Linked DNA regions of Solanum lycopersicum. The protein of the gene in region 1 binds, or shares a complex with, the protein of each later gene. Links are inferred from orthologs where the notes say so. Each region holds a gene or a part of one and is shown on either strand. Other genes may lie near its edges.

Region 1 (4,332 bases):
TTGCACTTGCATAAACTTAGGTAAATGAGCAAAAAGGAAGTCGATGGGAACTTATAACCGCCCTGAAGTAAAGCTAGGAATAGTCATTTAATGTCCACCTTTGGTGTCTGCGGTAACATCAACAACAACATACCTCATGTAGTCCCACAAAGTGCAGTAAAGGGAGGGTAGAGTGTATGCAAAACTTACTCCTATCTTAGAGGTAGAGAGGATTTTTTCAATAGACCCTTGGCTCAAGAAAAAGAAGTCCAAAAAGAAGTAACAGAAGTGAAAGCAATGCGTGTAGCTAAGCGACCCATCTTGTTTGGGACTGAAGTAGTTGTTGTTGTTGTTGAAACAGTGCATTTAGATGAACGCATGTCAGAAATGGACAACACAATTATTTGTGCAAGTCAAAAAATGTACTACTAATCTTTGTTCAGGTTTATGTTTAGAAAAGTTAAATAAATGAATTTTGCAAGTAGAAAGATTGCTGGGAGAGAAACTTATTTATATTGAACTAAGCTAAACTATATTCATCTTTTTTTTGCTTCTTCTTCGCCTTGTTTGTGAAGGCTTATTACAGAGTTGACGAATGCATGTCAGAAACTGAAGTTTACCAGACAGACATTTCTAATGAGCTACTACCAACAGCCAATATCGAGGAGAGTGACGAGAAACTTAAAGATTCATTATCTACAAATATCAGTAACATCGGTCAGACTGTTGTAGCTTCTGTTGAGGAGAGAGACAAGGAACTTAAAGATTCACCTATCTGTAAGCATCATTAGTGATGTTGTTCAAGCTGACTGAGGTGATTCGGATGCAAACGTCTGGATCAGATGTCTTCTACGTTGGTGATCTTAGTCCGCGCATGTTGCCTTCAGGGTGGTAGCATTTCCTCTGCAAATTATTAGCATCCAATAAATTTACTGGTTGTAAATAGAAAAAATGCATTTGCATGTATGTGTTCCTCTGAAATTTTCCCAGTTTTTGGTGCTTTGCCTTTGAAGCCAAGTCTCTATATGTAATAAGAAGACTAAGAACAATCACATATATAAAATGTTACTAGTAGATTAGATTACAGTCTCTCATTCTGTTCTTTTTTGGTTCATTCTTTCCAAATCCAAAGTCATTTTTATCAAAGATATTTCATTAGGCATTCGAATTAAGTCATGTTTTAATTAAATGCTTCGACTTCTAAAAAAGTGTTTCAAATAGATAAGTACGAAAATTTGAAACCGCATTTGTGTGTTCTCATTTATCTATAGTTAAGTTAATCACGTAAAATATGTTATCTTGTTTAACTAAACGTATTCGCTAAAATAATAAACTGTAAATCATAGACGTTTTCTACTTATGAGTGATGCATTCAATTAAATAAGATCACATATTTTATGTAGTTGATTTAACTAATAGATAAATAAAAATAAATCCAAACTTTTACGATTCGAACAAAAAGTGTCTTAGTGAAATATTTTATTATGAAGTTGAGGTACTCAATAAATATTTTCACAAGTTTTAAGAGGTTGTCTTTTTTTTTAAAAAAAAAACAAAAAACAAATCGGGGCCCGATTACAACTCTCGGGTCAGTCTTGTTAATGGTGGATTAATCTCGGTATATTAGTATTGAACTGAAAAAAACTTCAATTTTGAGATCAACAAAATGGGGGAGAAGAACAAGTACAGTATAATTATACCTACCTACAATGAACGTCTCAATATTGCTCTCATCATCTACCTCGTCTTCAAGCATCTCACGTAAACACTCTTTCTCTCTATCCCGTTTCTTTTTTTTTTGTGTGTGTGTGTGTGATCACTGCTATTAAAGTTTCTGTCTTTTTGGAAAATATTTGCATCTGGAAAAATGGGTTTTATGATTTATTAGAAAAGAATTGTTTTTTGGTTTTTATATTCGATCTTCTGTAAGCAACTTAAATTTGGCATGAATTGGAGCTGTGTAGAGGAAATTGACTAGAATTTTGTTGAAGTTGTTGCTATTAAGATCGTTTGTGTAATATCCCAGCATTGATTAATTGAATTAATCTATGATCTATGTGAAAACGGTTATCTTTATCATCAAAATCTAGGAAAAGGTAGTCTTCAATTTTGAACTGAATAGGAGAGGAGAAATTAGAAAGGAGTATAGAATGAAATGGAGAAGAAAGTAGATAGAGTTAAGAAAAGAGGCAAGAAAGTGTAAAGAAGAAGCGAAACGAAACAGAGAGCAGAGAGGAAGATCGGGTGATAGAGAGATTAGATGACCAGTATAGGTATAGAAGGGAGAGAGGAATGAGCATTTTCCACATTTTCAGAAGCTTTTTCTACCCCTAGCTTCTATCTCTTTGTGTGTTTGTGAGTGAGATGTTCAGTTACAACTCATGTGCCACCCATGTTCTCACAACTATTTGTGGATTCATGACAGTTTGATTTAAATTTGAGTTAGATAGGCATGAGAATTTGTAAAGATTGTATCTTTTTGGAATCTAATATAGATGGTTGGGAGCTTTCGTGAGGATTGTAACTTTTTGAGGGAATCCATTGATTAGTAGGCTGGAAAATAACGTGGCTTACACCCAAATTCCAAGTGATTGTTGGCAGATATCACTTATCAGGAGCAAATTTGGAAAGGGCTATGTCAAAACATTTTACAGTTCTTGGAATCAATTTTCACCATTTATAAATTATTTTCGAAGATGATCTTTCTTTTTATAAGGAATTTGGGGGATCTATGCATTAATTTTTGTATGGATGAGGAGTTAGGTTCTGTCCTTTACATGCTTACCATTTTTTTCATATTTATTTGCTCATTGCTAATAATATTGATGCTCAACCACGAGAGAAGACATTGTTATTGAGATTGATTTATATAGATGTCAGGTCCTGTTTTATTCGACCACATTGTTGTTTATGACGCAAGAAAAATGTACACCATGTTCATGACATCATTTAGTGTCTTTGAGGGGGATGTTCCCATTTTGAGGACTAAAATTCATTTTTCCCTTGTATTTGAATTAAATCTCAGCTTATTTTTTCATATGCAATATTTAGAGGTGATAAAATCATGTAAATGCATAAGCAGATTCTTATTGCAAAATTTGTTTTTTCTTGACTCAGGGATGTTGATTTTGAAATAATAGTAGTGGATGATGGAAGTCCAGATGGCACACAGGATATTGTCAAACAATTGCAGAAAGTATATGGAGAAGATCGTATTGTTAGTAGCTTCTTACTTCATCCAGTTGTTGCACATTATGCTTCCCTGATCATACCAGTTTATCATCTCACTTTGCTCATTTCTCTTGTTTACTACAGTTATTAAGACCTCGACCTCGGAAACTTGGTCTAGGTACTTCCATTTTATTATGATAACCATGATTTCTTTTTCATACGAAGATGTTAGCCATGAATAGTCTCTGACATTCCTCTTATCTCAGGCACTGCGTATATTCATGGTTTGAAGCATGCCTCAGGCAATTTTGTTGTTATTATGGATGCGGATCTTTCTCACCATGTAAGTATGATTGAAGATAAGGGCCTCGTTTGGTTTCCTTTTATATTTTGTCTTTTTGTTGTGAAATGTCCTTTATCTATTTGTTGGAACATCAAGTGTTTTTGTTGGGAAAGGAACAGAAAGGGGATATGTGGTGTGCAGTGGGTTTTTTTTATGCTTGATGTTATGGGAAGAAACGATTCAAATAGCTCTGGGTGTGTATATCGAATAATTAAATTTATTTTTTGGGTTAATCGTTATTTTTCACGCCCTCATTGTTGCACTATTGCATATCCTGTCTGTGCCTGCGGTGATTTAGTTCCCCCAGCATCCAGCACCCTCAATAGTAAGAAAAAGGGCAATTTGTTCCTTGGACAACTGAAACTTGATAGTGTAGGCCCACTTCATCAAAACTTAAAAGTGTAGGACCAAAAATCAGTGACTTCCTGAATTTAATTATGTGAGCCTGTATATTGTTAGTCTGTCTCATAAAATATTAGTCTCTATACCAAGCTTATTTGATTTTAAATTTTATGGTTGATTCTTTTATACTTTTTTTTACAGCCAAAATACCTGCCAAGATTTATCAAGTGAGTATTTGTTTTCTTAAATTTCAGTTTTCTTGTAATGGTGAGCACTAGAACTATAATTTAAATTTTATGTCTAGGAAACAAATGGAGACAGGTGCCAATATAGTTACTGGAACTCGATATGTTTCTAGTGGTGGTGTCCACGGATGGAACCTTATGCGCAAATTGACGAGCAGGGGAGCCAATGTCCTTGCACAGACACTACTTTGGCCGGGTGTATCAGACTTAACTGGATCCTTCCGGTATGTTTTAATTTGGAAGTAGAGGAAA
Region 2 (4,490 bases), on another chromosome or scaffold:
AAGCAATAACGCCAAAATCTTCACGATATGTTTCATTGGATCTGCAGTGATGCATTAATTTGATGTGAGTAATAGAGGAGACTAAAGTTTTTCATTGATTAACATATAATAGAAGTCAACGACTGAAACATTAAGAAGCCAACTCAATTAACTATCAGGGTGTCTTTGATTTGAAGGAAAATAAGAGGTTTTCTTACTTATTTTCCAGTGTTTGGTTGGTGAGTGGCAAAAGAATTTCAATGTTGGTAGGTGAGTGAAATATTTTGCATTCTTTGGTTGTAAGGAGAAAGTTTGCTAACAATATTACAGAAATGGCTTCTGTGTTATTCTCTCACCCCCGCCCCCATCCCAAATTGATCTACATCTATAAAACAACAACGAGATTTTTACACAGTATATATATATGTGTGTGTGTGTGTGAGAGAGAGAGAGAGAGAGAGTTGCCGTGTATAATTTATGTACATCAGCTAGGGGCTGTAAATATTTTTTGGCTGAGAGGCCAAGTGTGTAGAAAGTCACAAACAAATGCATTGTTAACATGAAACTTCACGGCCTACATGGATGTCCACATGGATGTCCAATGTTAGTTGATATTATGATCATTCCTTTGGAATTAAACTACTTTTCTATGTCAGTGTCAAAGCCAATGCAAGAAAACAGAAAGCAAAGACCTCCATATTAGTTTTCAAAAAGTTATAAAAACTTCAAATCTAGACTAACAAAATACTGGATGATGCAACCAACTAACAAAATTATGGAGCACTATATGAAAGCCAACAACTAAAATCCGGTGCAGATACAGAAGATCAGATAGAAAAAAATGAAAGAACTAAAACCTACTACCTAGCAATGTTCTTCTAACTGATGATGTGTTCTAGTTTTGTTGCTTGAATCTTTCCAACCACAAATATTCCGTTGGTTTGCACCATCTAAATTGTTTCTCACCCTTTCTCTCCATTTGTTTATTGTTACAGGAAACGTATCGGATCTACATTCACCAGATAAGCAAGCATTATCAACAACATATTTTCTGTAACAACTCCAGTTTCACAATAGAAACACTCAAATATTATAATCACTACACTCAAAGTTAAATGGGAAAATGGAACTCACAAGGAAACTATTGAAGAATATAACTAGAAGGGAGATGAGAAGCTTAAACTCAAAGCAAAGGGATGAGAGGACTAGGTTCTCAACCATCTGCATAAGTCTAATTTGCTCCACAAGTCATATTTATCAACTCGGATCCCAAACATAGTCTCTTAATTCGGTGTTGAGCTGGTTTGCCCATACTGGTCCTGGCCCGTTCATAACAATACCACCCTCCTGAATACGAACCTTGTCCTCAAGGTTCAAGTGCAGAAATGTCAACAGTGAAAAACTATCACTCTCGTAAAGTGAAACATGCTTCTCTGTCTAAATTCCATTAGGGAGTAGTGTAATAACAATTTCGTAACTAAGATGCAACACAGATATTCGCTTCTGCTTTCCAAGCCAGAGCATTAGTTGATGATTACTGTTAAATGGTTGATCCAACTCCTCAACGGAATTCCGTATAACAATTAATTAGTGCGAATTCAAGGCCATGTAACAGATTCTTAAAGAAGTTGAGAACACTAGAATAGCTGATAGTATATCCTCATGGAAAGGTAGTAGATTAGTGTACCATAGAACAGATAAAGAGTCAGTCCAAAAAGTAATACAGGGGACAGTCATTTTCTCATCCATTGACTTTCTTGCTGGCATATCATTGCCTTCTCCAATATCGAAAATCCCCACTCCATTATTTAAGAACACAACAGCTTTGATGGACTAGACAATGTGATGTTGTTCGCCTAAACCAACTGTGAGGACTAGTAGAGATGAAACAAGGAGAAATATCAAAGATACAGGAGGCTCAGCATCTCCAAACATAGAAGTAATCAACACTGTCAGTGAGTAAACCAAAAATTAAGTCGGCTGTAAACATTTGACAAGGAATGAATAAGGTCTTAGTGTCTAGTCCTCATTGAAAATATTCATGCATTTGTTGTAAGCAAATGGATGACGACCTCCAGAAGCCATAAGCTGAAAAGCAGCAACAAATTCCCTGAACCATTCACAACAGCAGCATACGACACTGGTCAAAGACTTCTTGAAAAAACCGTCAGTGACAACCAGAACAAGGCGAAGGATGAAAGCCATCTTTCAGTATCATGATTCTAGGGAAGATTGTGGAAATAAGTTGAATTTATTCGCGTTTGAAATGGAACTAAAAGGGGTTGTCTAAGGTGCAGATGAACAGTTCGATAAAAGTCCTAAACGAATCATCCCCTTATAACCTTGGTCCTAACTGTTTTTGTTGATTCATATGAATCCATGGTGATTTATTCTCTGTGCTAAAAGATTAGTGCAACATCACTATGGCTGCTTCACTTTTTACCAACAAATCACCTTAAAATCCACCAAACCTAAAAAAATCACCCAATAACTCCAATCCCATAAATTTTTACATTAACCCCAATACAATTTAACCAATTTGATAACACCCAGATGATAAAAATCTAATCTTTTCACAAAATCACCTAAAAAAATCACCAATAACACTGATCCCATAAACTTTTACAGAAATCCCAATACAATTTTAGCCAATTTAGATCACACCCACATGATAAAAATCAAATCTTTTGTTTAGAACAAAGAAAATAATTAGTAAAAAGTAAAACTAAAATCATAAAAGGGAACAAACCTGATATTGAATATGAAGCCTGCTCCGATCAGTTCCAATCAGGTTTTGCAGTTGTGTTTTTCTTTTTTTAACAAAAATTAATTTAAGGTATTTTTTCAACAAATTTAATATACAGTTCAGACACCTCTAACAGACAGCAGTTGACGTGTCTGCCTATTTTATTTAATTATATAAAAAGAAATTCTTAACCCCAGCCATCAAATCAAATTTTATTTTTAATTTATTTATTTTTAAAATTGGCATTTCTTTTCATAAAAAGTTATGTATAAAAAATTGTGATTTCAATGAAAAGTTGCGATTTTTACAAGAAAATGTTTCTTTTATTGAAAAGTAACGACTTTAATAAATAGTTATGACTTTTAAAAAAAAAATTGTGACACTTATCGTCACTAAAAATGTGTTTTAGTGGCAACCTTTGTCACCGCCAATACCTATAAAAGTCGCTAAGTGTAACTCAATGATTGCAATTCAAGAAGGGCATGAAGCTTTGACTCAGCCAATCAATCGCCTTCTTAGTTAGCTGTGGAACCTGCCCTTTAGCCATCTATCTTTAGATACGGAGGGCCAGAAAACTGACGGAATTCTAGGATTCCTTTTGGAGGCAAATACTTTTATAGGTGGCAACCTTTGTCACCACCAATGCTTATAAAAGTCGCCACTAAAAGTGTATTTTAGTGGCAACTTTCGTCGCCGCCAATGCCTATAAGAGTCGCCATTAAAAGTGTGTTTTAGTGGCAACCTTTGTCGCCAGCAATGCCGATAAGAGTCGCCACTAAAAGTGTGTTTTAGTGGCAACCTTCTTCGCCGCTAATGTCTATAAAAGTCGCTACTTAAGATGTCCTTTGGTGGCAACCTTTGTTGCCGCCAATGCCTATAAGAGTCTCCACAAGAAAGTGTGTTTTAGTGGCAACCATTGTCGCCGCTAATACCCATAAAAGTCACTACTGAAGTGTGTTTTAGTGGCAACTTTTGTCGCCGCTAATACCCAAAAGTCGCTACTGAAAGTTGTTTTAGTCAACCTTTGTCGCCGCTAATGCCCATAAGATTGCCACTGAAAGTATGTTTTAGTGCAACCTTTGTCGCCGCCAATGCCCATAAGAATCGCCACTGAAAGTTGTTTTAGTGGCAACATTATCGCCGCAAATGCCCATAAGAGTTGCCACTAAAAGAAATTTTAGTGGCAACCTTTTTCGCCGCTAATACCATAAGAGTCGTACTGAAAGTGTGTTTTAGTGGCAACCTTTGTCGCCACTAATACCCATAAGAGTCGCTACTGGAAGTATGTTTTAGTGGCAACCTTTGTCGCCGCTAATACCCATAAGAGTCGCTACTGAAAGTATGTTTCAGTGGCCTATACAAGTCGCTACTAAAATTGTGTTTAGTGGCAACCTTTGTCGCCGCTAATGCCTATAGGAGTCGCTACTGAAAGTATGTTTTAGTAGCAACATTTGTCGCGCTAATGCCTATAGCAGTCGCTACTGAAAGTATGTTTTAGTAGCAACATTTGTCGCCGCTAATGCCTGTAAAAGTCGTCACTAAAATTGTGTATTAGTGGCAACCTTTGTCGCCACTAATGACTGTAAAAGTAGCCACTAAACAAGTGATTTTCTCTTTAAAAAAATTATTTATGTTGTTGTACCAGTATATTCTTAATGGTCTTAACTTAGTTATAATTAATATTGACTATCAAAATTTTTACATATTTTTTTTCACCAGAGTTATTTTAACCATAAAATTATTGTCTTTTTTCATGTACAAAAAG

The links.
Region 2: dolichol-phosphate mannosyltransferase subunit 1 (region 1) and dolichol-phosphate mannose synthase subunit 3 share a complex: the UniProt entries of both Arabidopsis thaliana proteins name them as parts of the dolichol-phosphate mannose (DPM) synthase complex. The link is inferred for Solanum lycopersicum from reciprocal best matches to the Arabidopsis thaliana genes DPMS1 and DPMS3.

The regions. Positions count from the first base shown.
Region 1 is NC_090803.1:67,948,090-67,952,421, reverse strand, and holds the start of dolichol-phosphate mannosyltransferase subunit 1, read left to right. Parts: upstream 1-1,487; 5' UTR 1,488-1,645; coding exon 1,646-1,740; intron 1,741-3,096; coding exon 3,097-3,196; intron 3,197-3,294; coding exon 3,295-3,328; intron 3,329-3,416; coding exon 3,417-3,493; intron 3,494-4,036; coding exon 4,037-4,062; intron 4,063-4,139; coding exon 4,140-4,304; intron 4,305-4,332. Other genes in the region: 1,4-alpha-glucan-branching enzyme, read left to right, coding at 555-770. UniProt on the Arabidopsis thaliana protein: Transfers mannose from GDP-mannose to dolichol monophosphate to form dolichol phosphate mannose (Dol-P-Man) which is the mannosyl donor in pathways leading to N-glycosylation, glycosyl phosphatidylinositol membrane anchoring, and O-mannosylation of proteins; catalytic subunit of the dolichol-phosphate mannose (DPM) synthase complex.
Region 2 is NC_090800.1:455,981-460,470, reverse strand, and holds the start of dolichol-phosphate mannose synthase subunit 3, read right to left. Parts: upstream 2,884-4,490; 5' UTR 2,729-2,883; exon of another isoform or gene 1,114-2,728; intron 989-1,113; exon of another isoform or gene 844-988; intron 42-843; 5' UTR 37-41; coding exon 1-36. UniProt on the Arabidopsis thaliana protein: Regulates the biosynthesis of dolichol phosphate-mannose. Regulatory subunit of the dolichol-phosphate mannose (DPM) synthase complex; essential for the ER localization and stable expression of DPMS1.